Diceros bicornis minor: one gene and its partners. The protein of the gene in region 1 purifies or fractionates together with the protein of each later gene. This does not show direct contact. Links are inferred from orthologs where the notes say so. Each region holds a gene or a part of one and is shown in the gene's direction. Other genes may lie near its edges.

Region 1 (7,910 bases):
TAGCTGTGTATCATAGTCGTAAAGTTGTAGCTCTTCTATGTGGGGCTCTGCCTCAGCATGGCTTGATGAGTGGTGAGTAGGTCTGTACCCAGGATCCGAACTGGCGAACCCCGGGGGCCGCCAAAGTGGAATGCGCAAACTTAACCACTACACCACCAGGCCAGTCCCTAATTTTTAATTTTATAGAGTTGTTATAAGGATTAAATGAGATACTCCATTTAAAGCATTTAGCACAGTCTCTGGCATAATGTTAACTGTTACTTTTATTCCATCAAGAATATTTGAAAATTCAGGCAAATTCACTAGCATTTATTAAGTGTTGTAAGTCTTAGAGGTATATAATATAGAAACACCTGTCTGGTCTGTGGAGACTGAATTTTCAAAATTGGAATCATGGCAGCAAGTTGTTTGAGATCCAAACCCATTCCTTTACTTTTGGGCTCTGGGATCCCTCCTTACCTCTTTCCCCTCCTTCTTTTCTATATTAATTGAGCACCTACTATTAAGCATTGCTGGCATAGGAATAAAGAGACGAGAGGCACTGTTGCAGAAGTACTCAGAGTGGTGTCGGGGACACAGACACAGAAAAATAATTACAACAAACTATGGTAAATTCTATGCTGGAGGTGGTGGGCGGATTCTGTGAGAGCCCAGAGAAGAAGCCACTCACCTACTGTGGGGTGGAGACCAGTGAGAAGGGGAGCGCCAAGGAGGGCTTCATGTTAGGGGTAGACAAATGGGTTAAGTTTTGAAGGTTGAGTACCAAGGGAAACCAGGTGAAAAGGGGAGTAAGGGAGTTCCAAACAGCAAGAATAACATCTGCAGAGGCCAAAAGGTGAGAAGGAAAATGGCTTATTCAAGGAACCACAAGTGATGCAGTGTGCCTGGAAAACAGAACATATATAGGTGAGTCGCAGGAGATTGGTTGAGGAGAGAAGCAAAGACTAGAATGGTTAAGGCCCTTATCTATCATCCTAAGAGATGTGAATTTGTCCTGAATTACATTACAACACGATCAGACTTTTATGTTGGAAAGATCACTCTGACATCAGAATAGAAGTCTGATGGAGCCACATTAACTAGAAGCAGGGACATGATTTTGGAGCTCTGCAAAAAAATGATGGGAAGTGAAGTAGAAGTGGAAATGGACATGGAGCTGGGCAGCAGACTTAAGAGAGCTGAAACAAAATCAACACACGTTATTAACCAGTTGGATGTAAGTGATGATGAGAGGGAGGCAATTAAGAGGACGCTCAGTTTTCTGGCTTGAACAAGTGGGTGGATCATGATGCCATTAACTGAGATAATGAATCAGAAGGAGGATGTGGCTTTGGAGGGTGTGTCTGTGGTAGGAAGTGCAGGAGGTTAGGGGTAAAGAGTTCGGTTTTAGGTGTGTTGAGTGAAAGGGTAAATGAACAAAAGGTGAGGAAGTGAAGAACAGTCATTCGGACTGCTCTTTCCAAAAATGTAGCTGTGGAGGGTAGGGCTTGTGAGGTTGTATATATGTTTCCACAGGTTCAGAGGAAGATTTAGGGATTTTGTGCATGGTGACCTCCATTTCTCTGAGCAGATGGAGGTGATATAATTTTCTGAAGGGTAGGGAGATGATGAATAAATGTGATGAGGAGAGTGGTACAGTTTAGAATAGCCATATCATGAGAATGATAAGCTAATTGCAGACACAAGGAAACCTGGTTAAAGACGATAAATATGGAGGGGCACCAATCCACTCGCCTGTGAGATTCCCTCCAGCTGTCCCCAGGAACCTGGGTGTCAACTAGACTTTCCAGAGGCTGGGAGAGGGCTGGATACTTCTTCTTTTCAAGTCCCCAGTATATTCAGTCATACCGGAATGCCAAGAGAGGGTTATAAAACTAGAGTACATTTCAAATGCTTACACTTAGCAAATTAATACTTTTAACACACAGTGATTACAATGCAATATATTTGTGCTATTCACCAGATAATGACAGAATTTACTTAAAATATTAATTCATAATGCATTACAGATAGTGTCATTTGGTAATAGGACAAAGTTTAAAGTTCTACAGTGAATGCCTTCTTGTAGTCATGTCAGTACATCTCTGGGATGATAGTACAACCTCACTTGGACAAAACGTCAAAAGCTTTGATTGAAGCTTTCAATGAATGTTGGGCACGGACCGCCATAAGCCTTAGGTGTTGGAATGGAAAAGACAGATAACTGGATTATCCAGTTTAATAGATCCAATTCACTAAAATACATGGGGCAATGGAATTGAGGGCATAGATGATTATGAGAGGTTGAAGCAATGAGTTATGATTTCTAAAGTGAATTGGGAAAGAAGTGAAAACAGGAGGGAGTGATAAGTTGGTAGAAAAGAGAGAGGTGTGAGTAATGAAACCAGAGAACGAAATGGCTATGAAGAGAATAGTATAACTGTTGGATTTTGCAACTGGAGTATTTCTGGATGACAGGGTGTGGATACAGGAGCAGGCAGCTAAAGTGGAGTGGAGATGAGGGTCCACTGTAGTTGAGAGGGCAAGTCATTGTAAGACTAGTGTTTTGAGATAGTTATCTATACAGATATTGAAAATGATCCAGGATAATGGTGGGTCTTTGTATGAAGAAGGCGACTCCCTATCTCAAGGTTCCTTAAACTGATAATTGCTCTAAAAGTGGGGCTGGAGAGGAAGAGAGGAGACAAAGGATTGCGTACATGTTATCTTTATCCCATATCAACCCATGATTGAAATTTTATAAATGAGGAATAGTAAATTCCAAAATCTTGGTTGATGCTACAGCGATGCTTACAGAACATAACTCGAAACAGCCTTTCAATCCACTTATCAAAGTAATTTTGTTCTCAGTTTAATGGCAGGTGAAACAATATTGAACAAAGCAACCTCTGCTGTACCCTAAGCCCTTTAATTATAGTGTTCATAGTAGTAAATGCTCTAGTTAAGCGACAGCTTCCATTACAATCCTAGGTGTTCAATCACTGGTTCTTAAGTTTTTTTTCAGTTGAAGTTTTTAATGCATAGTTTCTGGCCAAAGTCTTTGTTTGTGTGGATAGATTATTGGATGTGAGATGAAGAGACTGCCAACAGGGCCCCTAAAGGGGGTTGCTGCAAAGGAGAGGCCATGTTACTACACGTGAAGTAATCTGTGAACATGGGACAATGATAGCTGACATTTATGCAGAACTCACCACATGTCAAAAACTGGGCTAAATACTTACTTTATGTCCATTGTCTCATTTAACACCTCAACCTATGAAGTAGGTGTTATTACCCCTGACCCCAATATTAAGGAAATTAAAAAACAGGAAATAAGTAACTTGTCTGATGTCTCACAACTCGTAAATGGTGGAACTGAGATCTGAAATCAAATCTCTATAACTCCAGAACCTACACATTTGTGGTTAAATGCACTTGACATTTGGGGATGGGAGTGGGGATAAAACCAAGAAGCAGTCATGGGCGTCACTGATTCCTTTTTTCAGAGGAAATGGGAGTCCAGAGCAGCTGATTAGAATCTTGCCTTACAATCTTGAGGGTCTGAAGCCTCTTCCCCTGGCCCCACCCTACCCCACCAAGTGATACAGATTCTTCCTCAGAATTCTCCTGGGCAAGTCCTGGCTGGAGGAAGAGATTATCTTTTTGCTCAGGGGACATTTTCTTGCTTAATCCTATTTATACATCTGTTTCACTAGCATTGCAGACAAAATCATTAAAACAAGCCAGATTTGTTTAGAAGGGGCTAGTGGATTTAAAATTAGAGTGATGTACAACTCTGTGAATATACTAAAAACACTAAATTGCTTAAATGGACCAATTGTGTGGTATGTGAATTATATCTCTATAAAGCTGTTTTTTTAAAAAAATTAGAATGTATGAATTAAAAAACAAACTTTCATTGCTCTTGAGTGATTTCAAATGGACTCCTTGCATATAAGACTGCCATATACAGAACCAAGTGAGCTCCTCGCCCATCCATTTCTTATTCAGTCAACATTCACAGAGTCCAGTCTTGTGCCAGGCACAGGGATGAGGGGTAGGCTCCCATCCCCTCGAGGATGAAAGGCAGGTACACATAGGAATGCTGTAACCGAAGTGAAGCACTGATTTTTTGCGTTGAGCTTTTCATGACCATGTTGCAAGTCTGAGTGTTAAAAAAAGTTTTCACTTTTAAAAAATGCATTTTTTTTTTAGTAAATTACATTGAATCACACATCTAGTCTCAAAGCTTCAAATCACAGTAATCGTTTATCTCTTTCAAGTGGGTTTTTGCATATGAAGAAGTTTAAAAAAATCAAGTTAATGTTAAAAAACGGACCCTTATTAAAATCAGTGCCAGTCTGGGGTATCTATTTTAACTTCAACCTATCCTTGAGGATTTAAGGCCGCACTGGCACGCCGGATGGTCAAGTACAGCTAACGGGAGGGCAGTTTAAGTGGATTTACACGTCCCCTCCCGACTCCTTCGGGCCTTCGCATCCCGGGGCGAGCTGGAAGCCTGTCCGCCTTTCCCGAGGACTGGCGGCGAAGGCGCCGGGCTGGGCGGTAGGACTTCCTGCGGCCAAGGGCGGCCGCGTTCTCCGCAGAGGCCAGGGTTCCGACCCAGACTGGACCCAACGTTCGTCGTCGGGCCGGCCGCCCTCCCGTCGCGGAGGGCCAGGCACGCTCTCGGCCCCAGCGCCGGGAAGCTCTGGCGCAGTCCGGGACTGAGGGCGACTGGGTCACGTGTGGCCGGGAGGAGCGTCGGAGGCCCGGAGTCTGCAGGAATGTTGTAACTTGCAGGGAAAAGTTTCCCTCCGCGGCCGGCCGCGGATCCCGTGCGGGCGGGCGCGCAGAGGAAGGAAGAGCCGGGAGGAGGCGGAGCCGGCGAGCGGCTCGGGCGGGCGGGCGGTTCTCTCAACTTTAGTTTTGGCGTCTGAGGCGAGTTTCTGTCTCAGTCGGGCGCAGCCGCCGCCGGGGAAAAGAAAGGGAGGAAGGAAGGAACAAGAAAAGGAAATAAAAGAGAAAGGGGGAGGGGAAAGGCAACTAGCTGTCCGGCATCCGTCAAGGGAGTGAAGGCAGAAAAGTTCTCAGGCGCCGCAAGTCCGGGTCTCTCGCAGCCCCTCCCGAGGCGCAGCCGCCAGACCAGTGGAGCCGGGGCGCAGGGCGGGGGCGGAGGCGCCGGGGCGGGGGATGCGGGGCCGCGGCGCAGCCCCCCGGCCCTGAGAGCGAGGAGAGCGCCGCTCCCGCCGCCCAGCCGCCCTCGCCGCTTCTCCCGTCTCGGCCCGACGAGCCGGGGCGCCCGGGCGGAGCCCTCAGCCCGCCTGGTCGGGGTGCGCGTCGAGGGAGGCAGAAACCATGGATCCCGGGCAGCAGCCGCCGCCTCAGTCGGCCCCCCAGGGCCAAGGGCAGGCGCCCACGCAGCCCCCCCAGGGGCAGGGCCCGCCGTCCGGGTCCGGGCAGCAGGCACCCCCGGGGTCCCAGGCGGCGCCGCAGGCCCCCCCCGCCGGGCACCAGATCGTGCACGTCCGGGGGGACTCGGAGACCGACCTGGAGGCGCTTTTCAACGCCGTCATGAACCCCAAGACAGCCAACGTGCCCCAGACCGTGCCCATGAGGCTCCGGAAGCTGCCTGACTCCTTCTTCAAGCCGCCGGAGCCCAAATCCCACTCCCGACAGGTAACCTCACCGCCCTTCTCCCCGCTAACTCGTCGGGCGGGCCCCAGGCCCGGGGGCGCTCGGGAGCGGCGGCCGCAGCGCCGGCCGGGGGAGGGGGGCTCCGGGAGCTCGAGCCGGGTGGGGGCAGGGGACCTCGCGGAGAAGTCGAGGGACTGGAGGCGCCCGCTCGGCCGCGGTCCCCCGCTCCCCACTCCTCCCGGAGTCTGGGGCCGAGATTTGTTTTTTCCCCTCGGAGTTTCTGTCTGCCGATTGCAGCCCCGGGGGCGTGCTTTTCCCCTTCTTCCTTTCTTTCTTTCTTCCTGGGGTTCCCGGGAGGTTGGCGGGAGTGGCGGGGGAGGTGGGGAGGAAGGAAGGGGGTGGGGAGAGCTGGGCCCGGGCCGCGGTGGGCTCGCACAATGCGCGCGCCGCCGCGCTCCGCACCTTCGCCGCCGCCGGGCCGGGAGGGGGAGGGGCCCCCCCTCTGGCATTTGTGTGTGGGTGAGTTGCCAGTGGCGGCCGAGTTTGTGAAGTTGAGCCCTGGGCCCCCTTTCCTTCGGGGCCTCTCGGTCCACTTCAGTCTCCTGGGGAGTCAAATAATTGTTCTCTTGTTTTCCAGTGTTGATTAGGGGTGGGGGTTCAACCAGTCCATTTAGTTTCTTGCTCCTTCTCCCCCTCCCCTTCCCCCTCCCCCTCCCGAAAGCATTTATTTTCCTCGCGGCCCCGGCGCTTTCTGAATACAGGATCCAGACTTTCCTGGAAGTTGTTTATGGAGTTAGCTTTTACTCCCGCGCTTCCCTTGCGCCTTGGAACTGGGGCAGGCTCGCTCTTATCAAACTTCGTAGGTTCACGTGTTGGTTTCCCAGTTGTGGACTATTATTTACAGTCTGCTGAAATGCTTTTAAACTAGCCACATGTGCACGTTGCGCAGGTCCTGAGTTGCGCTTTACAATGCCTTGGTTTTAACACAAGCCTTTGATAATACACTGCAGGTTGACTCATAGGCCGAGTCCTGCCTAGTTCAACTGTGATTAAAAGTTAATGTTTGGGAAGCGATGACTAAGTTGAGGCTCGCCATTGCTTTTCTAATTCTTATTGAGGATATGAACATGGCTGTTCCACATAGACAACATTCGCTTATTTTGTCAACTTCATCCAGCAATGAAGTGAAACTATTATGAAAGTGTTAACATTCCGACAGGCCCCAGTAGATTTGTTTAGTGTAGGTTTTCCTTTCTTTCTTTTTTTTAAAAAACTTGCTTCAGGCTAAACTTCAGCCTAGGAACTTTGTCCAAAAGTTAATTGGTTTTCCAAGTACTGCAATGTAGTTAGTCCACTCGGGCTGTAACTTGAGTGGAAAGAAGAGTTATCACCCCCACTCCCATTCCCACTCCCCCTCCTGTTTGCAGGCCTGTTGTATGTTCTGCCGCAGACTAAGGGGGTTTTGGAACTCAGAGAAACTCCCTTGACTTGCTGACAAAAACCTGGGTTAAGGAGGAGGAAGGAAAAACAATTTAGCTGCTTGCCGAAACACTTCAGTTTGTAAGAAGTAGACTTAGGTATGCTTTTTTCTCTTCCCCCTGGAAGTGGGTGTCTGGACTCATTATGGGTAAATGTGTGTTACCATTGCACCCTACAGACTACACAGCTATGCAGCTGGTTACTTAATATGTTTTGAAAGTATAATACATATAGGACATTGAATTCCTCATTTTGTGGCATGTATAAGCCCAAAAGAATTGCACCTGAAAAGTGTACTTACACTTCTAGTAAATAATTGCACGTGAATCCAGCAGTTTATGGATTCGTACTATTCATAATCTATAGTTTTGTTACTTTTTAGTAAGTTTCTTAACTAAATGTTGTGTATGTGTAAGTTTGCCTTTTGTTTCTGCTAATGATTTCCTAATTCAAATTTACTCTGATGGGAAATTCAGAAATGTACTCGACTTGGCTATAAGGAGTAAATGCCTCCGCTGATTGCTTCCAGTGTCCCTTTCTTGCCTATGTGAATCTATGAAGTTCTATCTTTTTGATGATCAAATCCTAAATCTAATCAAGGAATTTAAATAACTATACTAGATTATGAATAGTATGAATGTGGATTGTAAATACTATTGTCCACAAACTATTGGATATAAATTCATTCATATATGTGTTTTCCATTTTTCCATCATGAAAGAAGCTATTTTACAAATGAGAAAACTGAGGCTCTCAGAGATTAAGATATTGTTCAGTGTCACGCTAACCAACTTGGACTAGAACCCAGTTCTTTA
Region 2 (7,450 bases), on another chromosome or scaffold:
TTTCTCCATCTCCAAGCACTGATGTCTCAGTGATTGGTTTACTGTGCATCAGGCACACGAACTTGAGATTAAGAGGTTCGGTATCAATGTGACTAGTTCAGTACCATTATCCCAGTGCCTGCCATTGTGCCTGGCGGACAGTAAGTGCTACAGAAATATTTGTGGGCAGGTTTCTTGAATGTGCCAGACTTGTTCTGCTTTTTAATCTGCCTAGAATTTCCTTTCCTTAGTTCTTTGCATAGTCAACTTCTTATTTCAGTCTCAACCGAAATATCATCTTCTTGGAAAGGACTTCCCTGATCATAAAATCTGAAATAGATGTCCCCTCATCCTGTCCTCTCTATCATGTCACTCAGTTTTATATTCTTCATCATATTTATCACACCTTGACATTATCTTGTTCAATTTTTCATTTACTTATTTATTTTCTGTCCCTAACCAGAACAAAAGCTCCACGAGAGCAGAGACTGTGTTTGTTTTGTTCAAAGCTTCCTTCCCAGTGCCCTCAGCAGTGCCTGGCACATTATAGGCTCTTAATAAATATGTGTTGATTGACTGACTGACCGACTGAATGAATGAATGAAAGGCAAGCACTACAGGTTGCTCTTATTTGTTTGCTTTCCCTTAGTTAGTCCTCACAAGAACCTTATGAAGTCAACACTATCCTACTATTAGTCCCATATTACAGAGAAGAAAATTAAGTCTTAGAGAGGCAATATAATTTGCCCAAGGTCACATTATCAGTAATGTGAGAAGCTGCAATTCAAATCCAGATGTACCTGTTTTGCAGCTGACGATTCATCATCTACCTCTCCAAATATCTGTTTTATTACTCAGAATGTGAGTTTGGAGATCACAGCTGGGCTCCAAGTAGAAAAATGGGATTCCTACTTCTCCTGCTTCCCCCTCCCCCATTAACCTTATCCTCTAGAGGCAGAGCAGCTGGACAGCTGTAGCTCTGGCACCCTCAGGTGCTTGTGGTGGGGCCTTCCCTGGTGGGTTCACCACACACAAGGAAGCAGGAGAGTGCACATTATTCGTGGACTTCCAGCTCCAAAGGGGAGAGCCAACAAAGGGTTGGCATGGGCTCACACTAGGATCAGAACTGGCCACTGCAAAATGTGTCTCTTTGCCTTGGCTTGATTATTTTTAAGAAGAAAAGACTCTGAAAGAAACTTTGGCCTTCCCCCTAACTGCCTAAAAGAATTTGAGATAAAAGGCCTGTCCCCAGGACGGGCCATCATCATAGATCACTCTGGGTATTAGTAGACTGTGAGGGTCCTTGCTAAGCCCATTCTTATCAAAGTTCTGTTTACCAAACATTTGCTTTTCCATTTCCATGTGAATTGCCTTCCTTCCCTTTGAAGTCCCAAACCACTACCTCCAACATCCTCCTTTGTCTTTAGCTGAAGATGCTATTTAAGATGACATCCTTGGCCAGATGGCTGAGTTACCCAGTTTTTCCTGGGTCTCTCCCATGTATACATGTTATAAAGCTTTGTTTGATTTTCTCCTGTTATTCTCTCTCATGTGAATTTAGTCCATAGCCCAGCCAGAAGGACCTAGAGTGTATAGAGGATTTGTCTTCCTCCCCTACAGACTTTTCCCCCAAACTCATGAATCAGAACAGGCTCTCTTCCCAAGGGGCTGGGGCCAGGGGAAGGGAGAGAGTGAGGGGTCTGGAAAGAAGGGCAGAATTATTTTCTTAATACTTTCAAGAGGGCCAAAGTTCCTCTTTTATGAATGGAGGCAATAACACAGGGAGAGGAAGAACATTTTCCTGCTCCTATCCTTGATTATAAAAGAAAAACTCTCCACTTGCAATTGATGTTGGAGATGGGGTGAGGGGTTGGGGGTGGGATGGGGAGGGATATTATCTACATTAGCAGTATATAGGGCTCAGCTCAGCCAGCTAATTTAATCTTGTCACTTCTAACAAATGACTCAGCACCTCTGTACTACCTTTACAGTCAAGTTTAAACTCCTTCTTAGGACAAGGCCCTTCCTGAGCAGCCCCTAGGCCCTCTGCAGTTTCATCTCCTGCTCCCCCCGCCATCTCCCGCGGCAGTTCTTCACATTGCTGGGTCCTTGTAAATGTCATTTCTTCTCTACCTGGCTACTTCCTATTCAGCTATCAAGATGAGGCAATTGAGCAAGAGCACCTTGAAGGCAGATTGTGTTTTACTTATCTCTGCATCCTCAGGCCTCTCAGGGTGGTTGCCTTCAATGAGCATCAAAGGGTCAGCCTTGCTAGAAGCCTTCCTGGTGCCCCTAGGCTGTGCTGGGGGGGTTCTCCTTCTCCCTCCCAAAGCACTTAAGCACATCTCTATTTATACTTTAGAGCTATACTTTAGATGTTGTTTTTCTTTCTGTCTGAGGAAAGATGTGTGTCTTAGGTATCACCACAACCCCAGAGGTAAGCCATAGTACCTGGCACATAGTAGGTGCTCAAAAATTAATTTTTGAATGAAACTTCTACAATGTGGAAAGCACTGTGCTAGGCACTGTTAGAGGAACATAAAGTCATGATGTCTCTGATCTTAATGAGAGTTGGGGGGTACAAGACATGAAATGTTCACATATGAGGCATTGTGAGATAATTTGAAGACAATACCGTAGAAATTTAAAGAGGAATGTTTCTGGCTTGTTCATGGTAAAAATTATTACACATCCTCCTTTCCACCTGGAAATGGACTCTTATCTGTTAACTATTTTCTTAATGGGTTTAGAAGTGTCTTACGTTGTGTAGCTTGGATCCATTTTGAAAGTAGGTGGGGCACAAATAATAAATAAAGAAAATACTGCCTAGGTGACAGATGTGGAAGGGCCTCTGGGTTGTGAGTTCAGACAGTAATCAAGATGTTTGACTTGGGGTAAAGGGGTGGGGTTATACTTTAGAGATAAAGGGTTTAGATTCTACACTGAACCACTGAACGAAAGTAGAGGGTGAGTCCTGGGAGGAGTTGAATGACAGTGGTAACAAAAATGGGTGCTTCCCAAGCCCCTTCATTAGCCTCCAGGGCTAGATCTACGGTCTGTTCCCAGGACCTCCCGGGGCTGCTGGGTACCTCCTGAGAGGAATAGAAATGGAATACTCATGAGTGCTGGAAGGTGGGAACAAGAAATCATGCAAACCAGTGAACAGGATAGACAAATGATCTTTCCGATTGGGAGCATTTGGTCTAAAACCTGATTTGTGCCTACACACTATCAGTCCAAAATTTTTATTTTATAGTATTGATATTGCACAGTTCTGTAGGATACTTGAGTTTTGTGAATGGTCCAGGACAACAGCATACACTGCTAACTGGGCTGGATGTCTATAAAACTGAATTCTAATTCATCTATGAGCATCCCTGATTCTGCCTCAGATCCTAGGTGGCCCTAAATAATCCAAAACAGAATTTTCCAATATTTCTATCAAGTGCGACTTGGAAGAGCATGTTTGTTGTGGGGTTTAAACATAAGGACTTAAGAGCTGGGAAACGCCTCCTTGGTCAGTATATAAATTAGGCCAGACTGACATCTCATTTTCCTTTTCTTCTTTTTCATAGTCTGGAGAGGAAGTGGAGGAAGAGGAGAATACTGAACTTGAACCCACATTCTGGCTGGTCTAAATGCACTAGGTCCTTGGTCTCTTTTAAACTCATAATTCATACTGCATCATTCATTTGGAACTAATCACTGCTTTGTGAGGTCTCGGAAACAGTTTCCTATCGCCTTTTTGTGTGTGTGTGTGAGGAAGATGAGCCCTGAGCTAACATCTGTTGCCAATCCTCCTCTTTTTGCTGAGGAAGATCGGCCCTGAGGTAACATCTGTGCCCATCTTCCTCTACTTTATATGTGGGACATCTGCCACAGCATGGCTTGATGAGCCGTGTGTAGGTCCACGCCCAGAACCGAACCTGTGAACCCAGGGCCCCCGAAGCAGAGCACGAACCAGGAGACCGGCCCCTCCTACTGTTTTTTATTATTTAACTTGCAGTGTCTATGTCTTTGGTACCCTCGGATATTAGGCCACCATAGGAAAGGGGCTATGTCTTTAGGATGTTCCCGCCCCTTCAGCATCCAGCACGGTGCCTTGCACTTAAGATGTGCGTTCAATAAATGCTTGTTAAGGAATTAAAGAATGAGTCCTTAGGAGGAAAGACGATGAAACATTTCTCTCAGGTTGAGAACAAATATTTCTCAGTTTATTTCAGATATGAATCAGCTAGTCAGCGTAAATTGTGTTTCTATCTGCTCACCAGGTGTGGGGAAGGGCTTTGGCTGAGATTGAGAAGTTCATTGCCCGAGAATAAAAAAGTGGGCGGGAATCTGAAGGCTCAGAACCTTGAGGAGGAGGCGGAGTCACCGAGAGTTGGAGCACTTCTGTCCAATCAAAAAGAGAGAGTAGAAGCAGGAGGGGGAGATAAAGGGGGAGCGGGAGATCGCGAATCCTGCCTAGTTACACAAGCTCGCCAGCCGGAACAGCAGCTTCTCGCCTGAGGTGCTTCTGCCCGGCGAGAGGGGCCGATTCCGAAGCCGACTCCAGCAATGGCCTTTGCAAATCTACGGAAAGTGCTCATCAGCGATAGCTTGGACCCTTGCTGCCGGAAGATCCTGCAAGATGGAGGGCTGCAGGTGGTGGAGAAGCAGAACCTGAGCAAGGAGGAGCTGATAGCCGAGCTGCAGGTAAGGCGAGCGGAGAAAGACGAGCGCTCCGTGGAATTCTGAGCCGAAACAGGCTGGCTGTGCGCGGGCCAGCACGCCCCACCCCCACCCCCGCTCCTTGGTATCAGTCAGTCCTGTGGCCTCTTGAAATTGGGGGTTGGGGAGAGGGGGGAGAAGGAGGGAGGAACGAACGGTGGCGAGCTGCAGGATGCAAACTTTCCGCTCAGTTTGCTCCCGGTGTTTCACATCGGCTTGCTTCCCGCGAGCTTTGCAAAGTGCAGGCTGCTCCAACTGGTCCTGCAGGCTGCCGGCGGGATGCCAGCGCGGCTCCCCAGCGCCTTCGCGCGCAGTGGCCCTGGCAGCCGGGCGCCGCTTCTTCCCCCCGCTCAGGGGCACTGGGGGAGGGGGATCAAAGTGGCTTCCCTGTGGGGAGCCCAGAACCAGGGACCCGTGATCCTTCCGCGATCAAGCCCTGGCTCCCCCGGCTGCGTCCTGCCTTCCCTGGGAGGCGCTGGCGGAGTTCCAGCCTGTCTCGTGGCTGCTGGAGAAGCTGCAGGGAAGGCGGCCCGGCTGGAGCAGCAACCGCCGTGCCCGCCTTTCGTCTGATGCAAGACTGCTGCGAGTTTTCTCCGCCCCTCGGCCTCCTGGGAGCGCTCGCAGGAAAGAGGGTGGGCGGGGGGCGCCCGAGATCCCCGGGGCCGCCCACGCGGCCGCAGCTGCCACGGTGCGGGCTTAGTCTCCGCCCACGGCCACAGCGGATGTCCTCGTCGCTGGTCTGGAATGACCAGACTGGAGTAGAATCCGATCCCAAGCTCCCCCCCAAAATATGTATTTCTCAGCAAATCTTTCTCAAGAACGTATCTCGGTTTGTTACGATACACAATTAGCGTCATCGACTTCAAATCTCTCTGCCTTGTTTGTAAGGGTCCTGCGAGGTTTGGTGGCTTCGTCCAGTCTTATGACATTTATTTTGTGAACTCAACACCCCATTCCTGCACTTCTTAGCTCCATGCTGCACCCAGCACCCTGGTATTTTTCACCCCACCGGTCCGAGGTATCCTCTCCCACCCCCCAACTCCCACAGCAGCAGTGTAGCCTCCTATTAACCAACCTCAGCGCAGATCCACTCCCTCCACGATTCCCTCCTCCGGGGGCCCCTTAAATCAAACCACAGTGGCGGCTGCTGTTGCTTTAACCTCATGGTCGTCAAAACTGCCTGTGCCTCCTTGTCTACCCTTGTATCTGCTGCTGTATTTCTCCACGGACCCTCCCGCATTTCTCCCCTTCCTCCCCCTGGTGCTGTATCCAGGTATCCAGCCCTGTTTCTGACCGGTCCTTGCCTTCAGGAATCTTGTAGGCTGGCTAGTTAGGGAGCCTGGCCAACACACGCGAGATGATTGACCAGATGACCCAGTACTTAGTGCTAAATGAGACTATCCGGCAGCCTAGACTCGGCGCTGCTGGAAGAGTGGAGAGAAGGGAGTGACAGCTTGGAAGGGGTGGGGTCAAGGGCTCAGGACTTGATCCTTGGAGCGTGGTAGGACTGGATGGGAGGCAGGCGCATCACACTTGTCACCTCTTCTTTTATGTGGATGGTATCAATGGCCTTGGCTCTGGGCAATGGGCAGAAGGCAGTGGAGTGCCTCTAGACAAGCTTCTGATCCTCACCTCCAGCAGACCAACAGGTTGAGAATTTGCTGTGATTTGGTGCTTTGTGGCTTTCTTATGGAAATTAGAAATCTTATACCCTGGGGATGGGGTAGGGACAAGGAGGGGTTAGTGCAGAGTTGAGAAGAATGGCAGGCCATACAAGTAATGAAAGGGGATTTCCATGAAGTCGGAATGTCAGCTGGTTGGGTGCTGGGAGTCTGGAGCTAAAACTTGGAGGATGTTTTAAAGGCACTGAGAACTCCTGGCAGGAGCTACTGACCGCTGGGCATTGTTGGGCTGCTTGGGAGCGCCCAGTCTTCGCGGCTGTCTTTGTAAAACATTAGGTTCAGAATGCTGGTTAGGCTCCTCGGGCAGCCTTGGAACCCTGGAGGAGGGTCCTCATAACTGCACTATGTCTTTTTATTCTGCGTGCAGAGGTGTCTGGGTTAGTGTCACTGCCCTCCCCCATTTAAGTCTCTTTAATACTGAAGGAAGCTTGAGGACATTGCCTGAGCAGGCCTGGCCTCTGTGCCCACTCCTTGGTATTCTGGGCAGGCACAGTTTGCTCTCTCAGTCCGTGGTCAGAAGTACAATCATCTCCCAGGACGGTGCTTTTCAGGCTTGAAGCAGTTCATTAGTGGGTGGTAATGAAGTTGTTTTAACGGGTCAGGATTAGCATTTGAAAAAACAAAATAAGGAATATCAGAAAGCAGGGCAGATGGTAAGGCTAAGTATTGTGTCGTGAAATTTGTTTCAATTATGTGTGTAGTTGTGTGTGTGTGGTATGTGAGTATAAAATCACAGTTTAAACATGTGTTTCTTACTGTAGGTCTTGAAAAAGTTTGGAAAACACTGGCTTGGAATAATAAAGCATCTGGTTTGGAACTCGCGAAACTGTTACTTAGACTGTGTACCCCTCTTCTATCAGCAGGTGTCACATCTTAAATAAAGCTAATATGCAGGAACATTTAAATAATCTTAGACCACGAATCAGTGGCTTTTAAACTTTGACCATGACCCACAATAAGAAATTCATTCATTCATTCATTCCTCATACCTCAGTATACACATACATCAGTGTACACACATGTATATACACACACTCAAGTTTCATGAAATAATGTCCTTACTATATGTGATGCATTCT
Region 3 (7,539 bases), on another chromosome or scaffold:
GCACAGCGGGAGGGACATCGCAGAGCAGCTGGTCCACTCCTCCTCTTTGAGAAGGAGTAGTTTATAGGGTAAAGTGCACTCTTGGGCTCAGATGGTCCTGGGTTCAAATCCCAGTTCATTCGCTTGTGACCTCAGACAAGTGACTTGACCTGCGTGAGCCTCAGTTTCCCCCTCTATAAAACGGGCTAGAGTGTTCCCCCCTCACAGGGCTGCGGTAAGGATTGCACGAGACAACCCACGTAAAGCCCTAGCACGTGCCGGGTACACAGAAAGTGCTCCCTTGACACTACTCTTTGTTAACAATAATCATGGTCGCTTTTGCATGGGCCCTGATTTCTTGCCGCATCATAGCCTTTCAGCCATGCATGGTGACTTCCCCTCCCCGGGGGGGTCGTCAAGGAAGAAATCGCAGAGCTTGGCCCCAGACCTGGTCAGCTGCCATCGCCTCACTGACTCGCAGAAACATTCAGCCACCACACAACCCTCCACTGGCCACACCAGAGTCCTTGGGTGTCCACCAACCTCCGAAAACTGCCCATAAGTTCACACTCGGTGACCTGAGCTTCGTGGAGACAAACAGCCAAGCCAACGGGCATCCATGTTAAATCCTAGAAGGGCTCACGACACCGTCTCAGAAGGGCTCACGACACCGTCTCATAGGGTCGTTATGATCATCACAAGAGGGCTGGGTTAGAGTCCTGGTGCATACTGTGTGCTGGGTAAGTTGTAGGAGGTGATGGTTATTATTATTCTTGTTGTTCCTGCTGATAACTATCAGCCCCATGGAGGGGCCACCCTTCCTCCCGTGGCTCACAAAGCCCTCCTCAGCCCAGCTCCGTTACCTGACTGCTCTGTGACTTTTCGCTGCTGTTCAGTGCCTCTGCAGTATGTTCCAGCAATAAGGCATGGCTGTATCTACACACACACCTCACTGTGGTTCACCTTTGGGCCTTGGCTTGTGTTGTTCGCTCCACCTGGTGTATCCCAGCCATCTCCTCTCTTCTCCTCAATCTGATAAACTCCTACTTGCTCTTCAAGATTCACCTCGGGAGTTACCTCTTCCAGGAAGCTGCTCCCAGCGCCTCAGGATGCTCCCATAATGATGCATTCTGCTCATCTCTGTTGTGGTACCTACACAAAGCATTTACAGTGCATATATGGTTGCACATATAGATGCATTTATGTATAAATACTTATCTAATTATGCTTGTGTGTTCAGTAAACCAATGAATGAAAGTGACCTGAGGCAAGTCATTTCCCTTCCGGAGCTCAGTTTCCTCATCTTCAAAACGAGGGGCTGACTCCATTGGTCACTTGCCAAAGGGTCGCTCATTCACTCAGCAAACATCAAATGATGCCTGCTCTGCGGTCTGTGCTCAGGGTCCAGGCACAGAGGAGAATAAGACAGCCCTCCCCTCCCAGTGGGAAGACAGTCTGCCTACCACCAGTATGCTGTTATCATTTCCCAGTCTCACAGACCCGGCGTTCTGGAATATTTTGTCTACTATGGGTTAGTATACTGGCTCTCTCCCAGCTGGCTCTCAAAAACATTTGTGCAGCTTTAAATGGAGATACACAGCCCAGGAGATCCTAAAGAAAAATATTGAGGAGTGGTGGTGCATCTTCATTTTTTAAAAGACCCACAGCTACTTTCACTGGGCAGCTAGAGAACTACTGTTAGAGATCCACGATTTGGTTTTACTGTCTTCACGACAAAGCAAAGCTTATCATGACCACGGAGCTGAAAAAGCAGACGCTTGACATATCGGGTCCTGGCTCAGCTACAGCGTCTGTGGGATGGTGAGAGTTCTAGGGGGCTTAGCACCTCTTGCTGGACCTGGGGGACGAGGGCCCTTAGGGAGGGGGTCTGGCTTGGACGGTCCCTCTTGCTTCAGGCCCCTGTCTCAGCTCTGGGCCCACCCACCCTCCCGCTGTCCTATTCTGATCTGCCCAAGCCTGTCCAGCCAGGGTGCAGAGAGCAGAGTCTCCCTCAAGCCACAGGGTAGCCTCGTCCCAGCACCTTGTCTGCTGCACCAGGGGGGTGTCAGAGGTGCTCTCGTGGGTCCTGGCCGGGGCACTCTCGGTCCCACTGCCTGTAGACGATGCAAAACAAACCCTGCCTGGATGGAGGCTTTGTTTTTCTCTTGGAAAGTTCAGCTGAAGCTGCTAGCCCTGGAGGATCAGGAGACGGAGCTGCAGGCCACAGGAACCACTTGGGGCCACAACAAATGGGGAGGGGCCACAAGCACAGTGTTAACGTCTCAGTGACTTTCCTAGCGAGCCACAGTATCCTATGCTCATCCCTCCCTCTCCCAGGAGCAGCTCTCTGCAGAGGCTTTGCTCTGTGGGGAGCCTCCAGGGAGCTATTTAATCTGGCTTCCTGGGTTAGGAAAGACCTGCAGCCTCCCCAAGTGTGAGCTGAAACCCCTTCCCTCTCCAAACCCAAACTCAGGCTGCGCTGGGCTCGGCCTGCGGAGCACAGAGCCCCGGTGAGGAGGATGCCCCTCCACCCAGGAGCCAGGAGCTGGCTCACCTGGGCCATGTCTGGGGGACCCTCAGCACCCCTGGGCTTGACCCTCAAAGCCATGCCCCTCTGGCTCATCGTCTCCCCATCCCCCTCTCCTGACCATCCACCTGGAGAGAGGGGCGGACAGGTGGGGAATGAGGTACCAAATCTGCCCCTCTCTGCACCCCCCCACCCCTTCTCCACATACAGGCCACAGTGAGCCTCTTAAAAGGCACATCAGGTCATGTTGCTTCCTGCTAACCCCCCACTGCTCTCCCAGCTGCCTTCCAATCATGCATAACCTGTCCCTCTGAGCTCATCTCTCATCTCTCTTCCTTGGCCCACTCCCAGCCCCACTGGCCTCCCTGGAAGAGGCCACTAGGGCCTCGGCACTAGCTGTTCCATCCGCCGGACTGCCCTTCCCCTTTATCTTTGTCCTTCCTGTCACTCAGATCTCAGCTTAGATGCCCCTCCTCAGAGGACCTCCCTGACCACGGGATCTAAAGTAACTGATCATCACTTTCTGTGACAGCAGCTTGTCTTAATCCCCTATCCGGCACTTACGACAGTCTCAGTTATCTAATTTGTTTATTATCTTCTCTCCCCTCCTTCCCCTAGAGTGCAAAGTCCCCCCAGAGGGCAGTGGCCTTTGTTGTCGTCCCCTGCAGAGCCCCCCAGGGGTCTAGCACAGGCCTGGCTTAGAGCAAGCACTGGGTACACAGTTGTCGAGCGAATGGTTGAGCTGCTGTAAATCAGGACACCAGCCGCGGCGCGGGCGCGCGCTCCAGGCTGTGGCCGCTCACGGTCGAGCGCGCGGGTTTTATCTCGTTGGGGATACCGGGGGAGGGACGCCCCCCACCGCCCGGCTCGCGGCAGACGCGTCGTAAACGCGCTTCGGGGACGCGCGGATAACGAGACAGACTCAGGCTGTGGGAAGACTCGCGTGCCGGGCGAGGCTGCCGGTGGTGAAGGGGTTCTGTGCGGCTCGGCGCCCCCCGACCCTGGCGTTAAGACCCCAGTAGGAGACTTTGCTCCACCCTCCCCAGTGGTCGGTCTCCACCTCGCGAATCACAGATTCTCCCCCGAATTCCCGGGACGAGTGGTCCAGTTGGCGGGGGAGCGGTGCTCTGAACGCCGCTCCGGGCTAGGGCAAGCTCCCGGCGCCCTGGCCCCCTCCGGGCTGAGAAGAGGGTACGGACCGCGCTCGGGACACGGTTGGCGAGGCCCTGGCTCTCCCCGTGCGCAGACGCCGGAGCCACAGCCCCGGTCTGGAGTAGAACCGCAGCCTCTCTGCGCGCTCCGGCAGGGGACGAGGGTGGAGGTGGGGGCGGAGGAGCCGGGGGCAGAGAAGGGGACAAAGAGCTGCCCTGCCGCCGGGGAGAGCGACCCCTGTGTCAGAGTCCTATTGTTCCTCGTATCTCAGACTATGCTGGACTCTGGTGTCCCCGGGAGGGAGAAGGGGAGCTGTCCTCCGGACCGTGGGTACAGTATTTGTCTATCTGGGGCGGGGCAGGGCGGGCGGGGTACGCGGGCCGGGGAAGGGGCTCGGCGCCCATTTCCGCGCGTCTCCTTTAAGGGAAGCCCTGCCCCACCTTTCCCACCTTCCCCCTCCCCGAAGCCGTACCTGCATTTTAAAAGCTCCCTGTAGCCCTGGGATTGGCCAAGGCCGCGTCCTCCGGGCGCAGAAACTTGAACCGCCGGGAGGGGGGTTGGAAGCCCAGGGGTGGACTGTACCATCTCGGCGGCGTCCCCTGCGCGCGCCCCGCCCCTCCCACACACCCCCGGAGAGGCCCAATCGGACGGGCAGGAGGGCGGGACCGCGGCTCGAACGCGCCTCTGGCAGGGCGCCGAGCGGGCGGGCGCACGGAGCCGGGGGACGTCGGGGGCTTGTGGCGCCTCTACACCCGCTCGCTCCCCCGGAGGCGGGCCCGGGCCGCGGCGCCCCGCCCCTCCCCGCCCGGAGTGGGCGGGGCGGCCGGGGCTCCGGGAGCTGGGCGGGGGGCGGGCCTCCGCCTGCTTCGCTTCAGCCCGGAGAGCACCCGGCGCGGCGGCCGCCGACGCAGCTGCGGTCCCCGCTCGCCGAGCCCCAAGACGCGCGGGTTCCCGGGCCGCCCGGGCGGGCGCTGCGTGTGGGCGCGCGAGGCAGCGCAGGGAGGGCTGCACGCGCCCCCGGCCGCCCCCCGCCCGCGCGCGGACCGGCCCAGCGCAGCACCGGCGCGGGGAGCGCCGGCCGGGCGAGGGCGCGGGCGATGCCGCGGTGACGGCCCCGCCATGGCTAAACCCCCGGCGGCGACGGCGGCGTCGGAGGAGCTGAGCCAGGTGCCGGACGAGGAGCTGCTGCGCTGGAGCAAGGAGGAGCTGGCGCGGCGGCTGCGGCGCGCCGAGGGCGAGAAGGTGGGCCTCATGCTGGAGCACGGCGGCCTGATGCGCGACGTGAACCGGCGGCTGCAGCAGCACCTGCTGGAGATCCGCGGCCTCAAGGACGTGAACCAGCGCCTGCAGGACGACAACCAGGAGCTGCGGGAGCTCTGCTGCTTCCTCGACGACGACCGGCAGAAGGGGCGCAAGCTCGCGCGCGAGTGGCAGCGCTTCGGGCGCCACGCGGCCGGCGCCGTGTGGCACGAGGTGGCCCGCTCGCAGCAGAAGCTGCGCGAACTCGAGGCGCGCCAGGAGGCCCTGCTGCGCGAGAACCTAGAGCTCAAGGAGCTGGTGCTGCTGCTGGACGAGGAGCGCGCGGCGCTGGCGGGGGGCGCGGGCGGCGCGGGGGGCGGCGGTGGCGCGGGCTCCCGCAGCTCCATCGACAGCCAGGCCAGCCTGAGCGGGCCGCTGGCGGGCGGCGCGGCGGGCGCGGGGACCCGCGACGTGGGCGACGGCAGCAGCACGTCGAGCGCGGGCAGCGGCGGCAGCCCGGACCACCACCACCACGTCCCGCCCCCGCTGCTGCCCCCCGGGCCGCACAAGGCCCCCGACGGCAAGGCTGTAGCCACGCGCAGGTCCCTGGACGACCTGTCGGCACCGCCGCACCACCGAAGCATCCCCAACGGCCTGCACGGTAAGGACAGCACGGGCCGGGCCGCGCGGGTCTCGGGGCCACAGCCTCTTCCTCCGGGGGCGGCCGCCACTCCAGACCCCTTCTCCAGCTGGCATCGGAACCCTGGGCAGGGAGATGCCGCGGCCACCCACAGTGGGGCTTTGGGTGGTGTTTTTCTGGTCAAGTGGTGGAGGCGTGTCCCTGCCCAGCTCCTAATCTGCAGCCCGCATGGGACCTGCCAGACCCCAGAAAAGTTTCTCTTCTGTGGAGTTGTCATTATCAGTGTCCAGCACCGCAGGGCTGGCTGGGGGCACTTCATTCCAGCCTTGGAGATCCTTGTCTGGGAGCGGGAAGTTCTTCATGGAAAAACATGAAAGGTCCTCTGAGCGCAAGAATTTCCCTGTAATTTGGAGCAACAGGCGGCCCCCAAATCTGAGCAGCGGCCAGTGTGTGCCGTGGCTGGAATGCCACCTGGGCTTCCCCGGCCCTGTCTGCAGTGATGGGAAGGAGCACAGGCAGCCGGGTTGAGAAGGGGAGGCAGCTGGGTCAGAGGACCAGGGCTAAGAGGCTTCCTGGTTTGCTATGAGTCCTGCACTGCTCAGGGTGGAGGGAACTTTCTCAACCGAGGCTTGGGGACTTTCCAGGGGGATATGTGCTTGGAATGGATCTTGGCTTTTCTTCTCTGCCTGCCTCAGTTTGCTTATCTGTAGAATGGAAATGATGGTTCCTGCCTTGGGGATTTGAGGTGGAGATAAAGCCCCTGAAGGGATTTGTAAACTGTTGGTCGCCTTATAGGAAGTGCCACGGTGGTCAGTGGGAGGACCTTTGGCCTTAGGAAAGCCCAGGTACTGTCTTCCATGCCTGAGACTGTTGGGCCCAGTGCAGAGGGCCCCCAGCTTGGTCTGTGGAGCAGAGCAGCCGGCTATCATGCCCAGCCCTCAGTCAGTCCCTCTCCTCCCCGCTGCCTCGCTCCTCTCCTGCCTCCCTGTTCTTCCACATTTTTGGTGGCTTGGCTCCCAGTTCTGGTGGCAATTGCTGCTGGAGGTGGAGATTAAACAGCCCTTTCTGGCTCTTTTAAAGCCTTTCCTCGTTCAGAGAAAATGTATCTAGGCCTTAAATGACTGTGCTTCCCCAGGTGACAGCCTGAGCAGGGGAGAGACGCTGGGTCTTTGGTTTGGTGGCCAAGTGGCCTCTGCAGGTGCCCTGGAGTGGGGGCTGCGGTGGGCACTGGGCTGGTGGAGGTGGGATGCTAGGCCAGCACAGTTTTTCCTAATACCCTCCCAGCTTGTGAGTTCAGGGCAGGACTGGGCTGAGAGGGGTATTTTGTTACTGATTAGCAATCTACCGCTGCAACTCTGGTTTCTCTTTGTAACTCTGTATCCACCCCACCTCCCACCACAGGCTCCTTAAGGCCAGTCTGGGTAGCTCAAAAGTTAGGTGGTTTAATTTGTTGGGGTTTCAGGGTCTGGGGAGTGAGGTCCCAGTCCCAGCCTCTCCAGCCTTGCCTTCTTGGGAGCTTTGGGAGGGCCAGATTTCTGGGCCCCAGTTTCCCCAAGTACAACACAGAGGAGGGGATTGCTGCAGTCCTGGGCCTGGGAAAGGAAAGGGTTCTGGTTTTCAGCTGTGTCATAGTGACACTTGGCCAGAGTGATTCTCTGCAGGGCACTGAAGTGCTTGAGTGTCATAGCGTAATCTGCAGGAAGTTCTGTCGTGTTTTGGACTGGGAGACGTGGCCCCTGTCTGGCCCAGTGTTTCATCTGCAGCAGTGAGTGGTGCAGGACTGGGGGACTGGGCTCCACCTGAGGGTTTCCACCCCACTGCGGGGTGGGAGGGTTGAGGTGTAGGGTTTCTTGCAGAATCCATGCCCCTCCAAGTCCCACGCATACTTGGAACAGGACTGCTGTAGATTTTGTGGTGGCAAAGCTTTGCTTTGGGGCGAAATAAAAATTCAGCGTCATCACAAATTTCAGTTACAGATGGGGTTGTTATTGTTTAGGTTTGT
Region 4 (7,219 bases), on another chromosome or scaffold:
GGGGAAAATTATGCTTATATCTTCTGAAGTAGCCACATTTTCAGAAAAATGTATGTTGTTTTTTATGCCATAATATACAACAGAAAAGATGAATACCTCTGAAGAGGAATCTAGTGGTGATTTGTTCTGAACATTTGGGGTAGAAGAAAATTTAAACTCAAGAGTGAGATCATGCAAACTATAGCACAAAATACACATATGTAAAATTTCATGGTTTTCCTATGTGCCTACTATTACCAGGAGAGGTTTAGTTTAGGGGTCTGTAAAAATGTTTTCTTCCTCTAAGTATAATGCTCTGAGCCAAGACATCATCAGTTCCAGGCTAAGTCAGTTCCAGTTGAAAGTGTGAATGTTCAGCAAGAGGATATTTTTGAAAGGAGACTGAAAACCCGCTGTGCCAGATACCTGAAACGTTGTTAGGGTATTCAGTGGAAAATTTCATTTCCACATTATAAATAACTGTAGGATATTTTAAGGGATCCAAGACTAGTGACTTCCAAGAGCTGCTTATATTAGTTCCACTGAAATGTGAAATGGAGGGAGGATGCCCAAGGAAGGCTATAAAGCTGAATTACCGGATATGATTAATTAAAATAAATAATTCACCATTGATTAAATCGCCCCTAAAATCCCCAGTCAAGGGACTCAACCTTTGAGGCCTTCATATTTTGCTATCCACCAAGTAAAACAAAGAAAGGACAAAACAGCGATAGAGAAAGACAGAGGAAAGTCCCCAAGATGATTACTTAAATTCAAACTGCCCTAGAATTTCTTATTCAAAAAAGCCCATCTGGTCGCCCATATTTGAAATCTTGCCTGTTACTTAGCGTCTTTTCTGGAAGTTTCCCGTTCTGTGGACTTCCTGGGAGAAGAAGGAAAACCCTAGAGAAGGCGGCATATCACCTACTAGGGTAGTTACTGAATTTCTATCTCCCTTTGACCACAGAAATAATCCACTTCCTGTAACTTCTTCCCTCCTTTGCAGCCCCCACACATTTAAAAACAAAACAAGTCAGAGATCTTTGTTAGACAGTGGTACAACGTGCCCAAAATAAAACTGCCCCGCTAAAAGGCAAAAAAATAAAAGAATAAAATAAAAGATTCGAGTGTGTGTGAGTTGCGTATGTGTATTTATAAGTGTCAGAGTGTGGATGTGCGAGAGTGCGCGTCCGAATGCATGTGAGTGGGTGTGTAAGGTAGCAGAGTAATGGATGCAGTCTGGTCTTTTTTTGATGGGTAAGCCTGGCTTCCCTTGGCGGGTCGGCCGCGTGCAGCTCGGGAAGAGTCGACCCCCGTGCGCTCAGGCGGCGCGGCGGTGCCCGGGGTTAGAGCTCTCCCCTGTGACCGAAAAGATAATTAAAAATCGCACGCGCAGCAGACAGCTTGGTTCCTCGCTGTGCATCAAGTTCGCCGGGATAAGGGGGTCCTCGCACCCCGGCGGCGCCCGGGCCTGGAAGCCAGGTGGCCAGGGGCGAGGAGTAGGTTGAGGAGGGGGTGTCGTAGCGGGTGATGCAGAATGCGTCACCGAGGGTGGCAGGCGGCCTTGGGAAGGCAGAGGAGGCGGGAGGGGCGCGGCGACGAAGCTCGCGTCTGTGGGGGGATTTTGGAGAGAGGCGGGAACGTGGAGAGAAAAGTGGGAAAGGGAAAGACGGACAAGGGAGGAGTGGAATTGTGAATGGAGAAAGGGAAGGTAAAAATAAAGCCCAAAAGAGGAAGGACAGAGCAGTGCCCCCTGAACCCCATCCTTACTCCCGCGAGGGCGCACGCCTAGCCCCCCCGCCCCCCACCTCTGCTCCAGCGGTTGGAAGACGCTCAGTCGCCCTCGCATCTCTTTAGAGGGCAATCCTGGTCTCCAAGTCATGCAACTGCATCCCTGCCAGTTCATCTTGCGCTTGAAATGGGCTCCAGAGTCCGTGACAGGAATCAGGTCTTCTCTTCTGCGCCCCCCTTCTGCCCCCGATGCTCTCGAAGTTCTCCCAGGCCCCTGCAAAGGCGCAGACCCCGAGCGCCGTCTCAGCCAGTGGAAGAAAAGCTTTAAAAACCGAGAGGGAGGGTTGTGGCAGGTCGCTACCAGAGTGACAGAGGCGTTTGCGCTGAGCAATAAATTCGCCGATTAATGGGTGTATGAATTGTTTTAAATAAGATGAGGGGAGATAAGTGATGACTCAACTATCTTGCTTCCTTAATACTCCTAGGGCCAGGCATTATAATTTTTCATTTATTTTATAAAATCACTTATTACTGTGTCAGCTACGCTATTAGGAACCTTAGAAACTTTGGCAACTGATGATTCTTTTTGCAAACACGTTTTCAAGCTTTGGGAGGTTAAAGGCGTTTGACAGTAAGCAAGGAACTTAGCAGTACACAACGTGGAGTGGAAAGGGCCCTGTGCCCCGTTCTTAGGGGTGCAATAGCCTCAAGCGGATTTCCCGGCTTCTGTGGGCGCCGCACATTGTTTGATTTGTTTTGAAGGCTCAGAGTTTGAGGCTGGTCGGAGACACCCACGTGCTTCTGACTCTCATCAGCGTAATGATCGCCTTAGCCAGAGTCGTGTCTATATAAACCACAAAAACCTAATCATTAGAAATCCCAGCCTCCAAAAACCACATTTTAGGTAAAACTGCCGCTTTTTTCCCGCGCTCCTTCATCCTCTCGACCACAACTTTTTGGGGGGATCCAAAGTCGCTTTTTTAACCCAGGTTGGGAAATAAATACATAAATAAATAGCCATTGAATCATTTTGAATATTTTATTTTGTATTTTTATTCCCCCCCCCCGGGAGTGGTGGGGAAGAAAGTTAAGACATTAGACTTAGTTTTAGATGCAGAATAGACTTAATAAAAGATTGAAATTCATGGAAGACTGCTGGGGTTTTTCCCCAGCAAGGTTTTTGCAACTTATTTTAATCATCAAGCCGACAGTTTTCCAGTCCTTAAAAAAACTCATCCTTGTTCTCTAGGAACGACAAGTTTGAATATAGAAGACAAAAGTGTCCAGCCACCCACTTGAGTTTCTAAAAACTATTTTGACAAGTGCTCCCTCCACCCCAATTTTTTGTGTCACTTAAGACAAAAAAGCACCCAAACCCTGCAAAATCTTTTTTTCCCCAGGAGCCGCTCGGGCAGAGGTGGGGGTGGGGTGGGGGAAGGGTGAAGAGTACTGAGAAGTCAGCACAGACGCTCAAGAATTTTCCTTCCTCCTCTCCTGAAGTTACAACGAAAAATAACGACAGTCAGATCAGCCGGCGGCTCTCTGGCGTCTCAGCTTCAACCTCATCCGACCAAGAGGGGGTTCCTTGTCCTGGGGGGAGGGGGGAGAAGCAAGAGGACGCAACCAGGCGAGATTCCCCCTAGACCGGGGCCGCCTCTCTCGGCTTCGGAAGCTGCGCGCGGCGTCCGGGGGGCTCCTTCTCGCGGCCGGCGGGCGGCGGCAGCGGCTGCGATTCGCAGGCTCGAGATCCGTTGCCCCGAGCTCCGCTGCCCGCGACTTACCTCTGGGCACCTCGAAGCGCGAGGATCAGGGGAGCTTTGCAAAGAGCAGGAGGGAGTGGATGCAAGGAGGTGGCGGTGAGAGGGCGAGAAGAAGAGAAGGGAAAGGAAGGAGCCGAGCCCGGGGGCCGGGCTGGCAGCCGCCGCGGGAGGAATCTGAGCGTGCAGCCGGCGCGGGGGGAGCGGCGGCCGCCGCGGAGGAGGCGGCGGCAGCGGCGCGGGCGGGCGGCGGCGCGGACGCCTGCAGCTGGGGAGCTGCGCTCGGCGTGGCGCGGCGCGGCGGTGGCGGGTGGCGCGCGGCTATGCCGACCCCGGAGCTGGACTGCTGAACTCACTCCGCTCCACCGCCGGACTCCAACTGGGAGGGGGCGCCAGCGCACCCAGGACGTGGTGCCCCAAGGGACCCCACTCCAAGCTGCAAACTGAAGCCCCCCGCCTCGCCGGGCGAAACACATCCCCGCGCCGGTTCGCAGCTGCCACCCCGGGTGTTCCAAAGGCTTCGGCAGGATCAGCGCCTCCCGGGTCTCCCCACCCGCCAACCCAACTGCTCCGCACCGCCACCGCGGGGCCCGTCAGACTCCACCCGGCAGTTGGCTTCATCGAACTTGATTTCTCACCTCCTCAGCCCCATCACCTCCATCCCCTTTCCCCCGTCTCGCCTCCACCCCCCCCAATTTCCTCCTCCTCGCCCCTCATTTCCACCCTCCTCCCCCTCCCCCGGCCACTTCGCTAACTTGTGGCTGTTGTGATGCGTATTCCCGTAGATCCGAGCACCAGCCGGCGCTTCAGCCCCCCCTCCAGCAGCCTGCAGCCCGGCAAGATGAGCGACGTGAGCCCGGTGGTGGCTGCGCAACAGCAGCAGCAGCAGCAGCAACAGCAGCAGCAGCAACAGCAGCAGCAGCAGCAACAGCAGCAGCAAGAGGCGGCGGCGGCGGCAGCGGCGGCGGCGGCGGCGGCAGCAGCGGCCGCGGTGCCCCGGTTGCGGCCGCCGCACGACAACCGCACCATGGTGGAGATCATCGCTGACCACCCGGCCGAGCTTGTCCGCACCGACAGCCCCAACTTCCTGTGCTCCGTGCTGCCCTCGCACTGGCGCTGCAACAAGACCCTGCCCGTGGCCTTCAAGGTAAGCAGCTGCGGCCGCCCCCCGCCCCCGGCTGGGCGCCGCGGGACCTGCCCGCCGGCGTCTCTCTGCCCGCGGGGGCCGGCGCCCGGACGGCCTCCAAGGCCTCCTACCTTGGTGGCTCTGACCCGAGGGACCCCTGGCTGGCCCTCTTCCTCCAGATCCCCCTGCGGGCTCAGGGCGCAGTGACCCTGCGCAGATGCTTCCCTCTCCCACCTGTGCCCGCAGCCACCACCGCAGCCCTTGTCCCCTTCATCCGTTCATCACCCCTCCAGCCTCCCGGCCCATGTTCTAACCCACTCCTCTGAGCCGTCTCCCCTCCCCCCAGCAGCCCCCAGGTGCCCACTCCTTGCGCCGCCACCCCGACTTGCTCCACCCCGCCCCCCACTCCCCAGGGGCGAGGATCCCCGGCATTCTCCCCTGGACTCCGGGGCATCCCCTCTCCCCGGGCATCCCGGCGACCCCACACCGCGGGCTGCCCGCGCCCCCCTCGCCTGGATTCCGCGCGCTCCCACCTTCCTCCTTCCTCGCGGAACGCCCCGCCACCCGTCTCGGCGACCCCTTCTCTGACCCGCTTGAGCCTCAGCGGCCCGGCCCCTCCCGGGCTCGGGGGCCACTGTTCGTGGGGCGCCGGCGCCAGGCGTTCGCGCCCGCGACTGGGCGCCGGGTGCCGGCTGCGGCCCGTGGGCCGCGTTACGCGTGTCCAAGAGGGTCCCGGGCGAACCTAGGGACCCGGGGAGGGTGAGAGGGAGACAGGACGGGGGCGTTTGCGCGGCTTACAGCCCCGCGCCAGTTCCCGTTACCGGAGGAAGGCGGGGCCGCTGGGGTCGGCGCGCGCCCGGGTCCTGGGCGCCTGACCCTCGAGTGCGGGGCGGCGCGGGCCAGTGGAGGGGGCGGGGGCTCGGGCCGCCCGGTTCAGCCCGGACCAGCTCCCCGCTGCGCCCCGCCTGGGAGGGATGAGGAAACCTGTGAAATGCCTTCAGTTCGCCCGCCTTGAACAGAGATGAAATGTGCGGATTTGTCTTACGATGACTTTCAGAGGACTGAAATCCCACGGGTCCCTCCTGCTTCTGAAAGGTCGTGGGAGGCTCGGGCCGGTGGCCTGGGCGCGGAGGGAGTGACCCCTGGGGCTTAAGAGCGCCCTCGGCGCGCCCCGCGGCCTCCTCCGCCAGCCCGGCCCGTTAGTTGGAGGGCGGGTGTCGGCGGCGGGATCGCAGGCGGCGGCGCTGCAGGTTGAGGGTGTCAGGTCCCGAGCCTCTCACAGGAGCCCGAGGGGGTTCCGTAATGCGATCAGGATTTCCCCGGGCAGCCCTCGCCAGGGGGAGACGCGGAGCCCCCGAGGCCGAGCGCGCGGCGGGTTGATGGGGAAACGGGTTCCTGGGCTGTCCTCACTCGCGGGACTGGACGCCGGGGATGGAGGGGGCGATGAGCCAGACAGGGAGGAGAGCGCGCTCCGAAAGGCGCTTCCGGCCTTGTGTAGCCTCTGAACTCGTGAAGGTGGGCCTGGGTCCCCTGGGTTCTGGGGTCTCTGGAGAGCAGGGTGAGCAAGGCCTTGAGGGAGGGGGAAAATGGGGAGGAATCGTGCCAGTTCCTGCATTGGGAATCCTGGGGCGAAACTCCCACGGGCCACCGGCAGTTCCCATTTGTTGATCGGCCCCCTGCCCCCCACGCACCAATTCAGATTCCGTGTGTGGGTGGCGTGGAAAGAGGAGTCCAGGTCAATTAGAGCTGGGTATCTCGCTGGGTCTTATATCAGAAAAGAAATCAGAATGAATTGTTATGGAAAGGGGATGTTGCGTTCTGGGGCAAGTTTCATTTTGCAGTTGGCTCAAGAAATGTGTTTTTTTTTTTAACCGTCCCATTTCTCCTTTTGTAAACTACCCATTTTGTAGGTTATATTTTCTTCCTTGAAATATGAAAAACTCAGAATATATGTGAATTGTAGAAGTTTGAATTTCCATACAAGAGATATCTTTTACAATGTTCATCGTCCAAGGGCCTAGAATTTTCTATTTAGCCTTATGTGAGAAATTTGTTTCCACCAACCTTCCCCCCCAAAAAAAACCTCAAAACATAAACAAAAAACCTGAGTGAAAACAGCAAATAATGCAAATAAGTAGATATTTTGTCTATACAATGCCACAAGTCAAGATATGTGAAAATATAAGGATAGGTGCCTACATTTTTAAAGATATCCTTTAGATGTTCGATGTTTTACATTCCGTTTGTTCTGCTAAACGTATTTTAGGTATAACTGTCTTAAACTATTCTCTTATGTTTATGCTGCTGAGTTAATTTTGAGTATTAGTATTTTGGATAGAAAAGATGTTTTTGGCATAAAGAGAATGCAATTTAGTTTGAGCTTTTCTCAGATATTTTGGTTATCTTTAGATTTTCTCATTACCACCATTTTAAAATTAATTTTGAAAATAAATTGCTTTCTTTGCTATTAGTTATACTTGTTAATTACAGAGTAATTTTACTTTCAAACAGTAAACAAAACCGTAGACAACACATGGACATATAAAATTATATATTTTAATTGAAAAACAGTTAACCTAAAACTTGACTCGCAATGTTTTCCACCTCCATGCCTGTGTTTAACAAA

What was found.
Region 2: the proteins of YAP1 (region 1) and PHGDH purify together in Homo sapiens (affinity purification with mass spectrometry, with the first as the bait; 4 studies listed by BioGRID). This does not show direct contact. The link is inferred for Diceros bicornis minor from reciprocal best matches to the Homo sapiens genes YAP1 and PHGDH.
Region 3: the proteins of YAP1 (region 1) and CCDC85C purify together in Homo sapiens (affinity purification with mass spectrometry; 5 studies listed by BioGRID and IntAct, with this or other methods). This does not show direct contact. The link is inferred for Diceros bicornis minor from reciprocal best matches to the Homo sapiens genes YAP1 and CCDC85C.
Region 4: the proteins of YAP1 (region 1) and RUNX2 purify together in Homo sapiens (affinity purification with western blotting; 4 studies listed by BioGRID and IntAct, with this or other methods). This does not show direct contact. The link is inferred for Diceros bicornis minor from reciprocal best matches to the Homo sapiens genes YAP1 and RUNX2.

The regions. Positions count from the first base shown.
Region 1 is NC_080746.1:32,841,631-32,849,540, reverse strand, and holds the start of YAP1 (transcriptional coactivator YAP1), read left to right. Parts: upstream 1-4,905; 5' UTR 4,906-5,337; coding exon 5,338-5,658; intron 5,659-7,910. UniProt on the Homo sapiens protein: Transcriptional regulator with dual roles as a coactivator and corepressor. Critical downstream regulatory target in the Hippo signaling pathway, crucial for organ size control and tumor suppression by restricting proliferation and promoting apoptosis.
Region 2 is NC_080743.1:51,497,830-51,505,279, forward strand, and holds the start of PHGDH (D-3-phosphoglycerate dehydrogenase), read left to right. Parts: upstream 1-4,440; 5' UTR 4,441-4,536; coding exon 4,537-4,674; intron 4,675-7,450. UniProt on the Homo sapiens protein: Catalyzes the reversible oxidation of 3-phospho-D-glycerate to 3-phosphonooxypyruvate, the first step of the phosphorylated L-serine biosynthesis pathway.
Region 3 is NC_080763.1:44,739,530-44,747,068, reverse strand, and holds the start of CCDC85C (coiled-coil domain-containing protein 85C), read left to right. Parts: upstream 1-4,529; 5' UTR 4,530-4,777; coding exon 4,778-5,558; intron 5,559-7,539. UniProt on the Homo sapiens protein: May play a role in cell-cell adhesion and epithelium development through its interaction with proteins of the beta-catenin family. May play an important role in cortical development, especially in the maintenance of radial glia.
Region 4 is NC_080753.1:20,602,673-20,609,891, reverse strand, and holds the start of RUNX2 (runt-related transcription factor 2), read left to right. Parts: upstream 1-4,209; 5' UTR 4,210-4,236; coding exon 4,237-4,614; intron 4,615-7,219. UniProt on the Homo sapiens protein: Transcription factor involved in osteoblastic differentiation and skeletal morphogenesis. Essential for the maturation of osteoblasts and both intramembranous and endochondral ossification.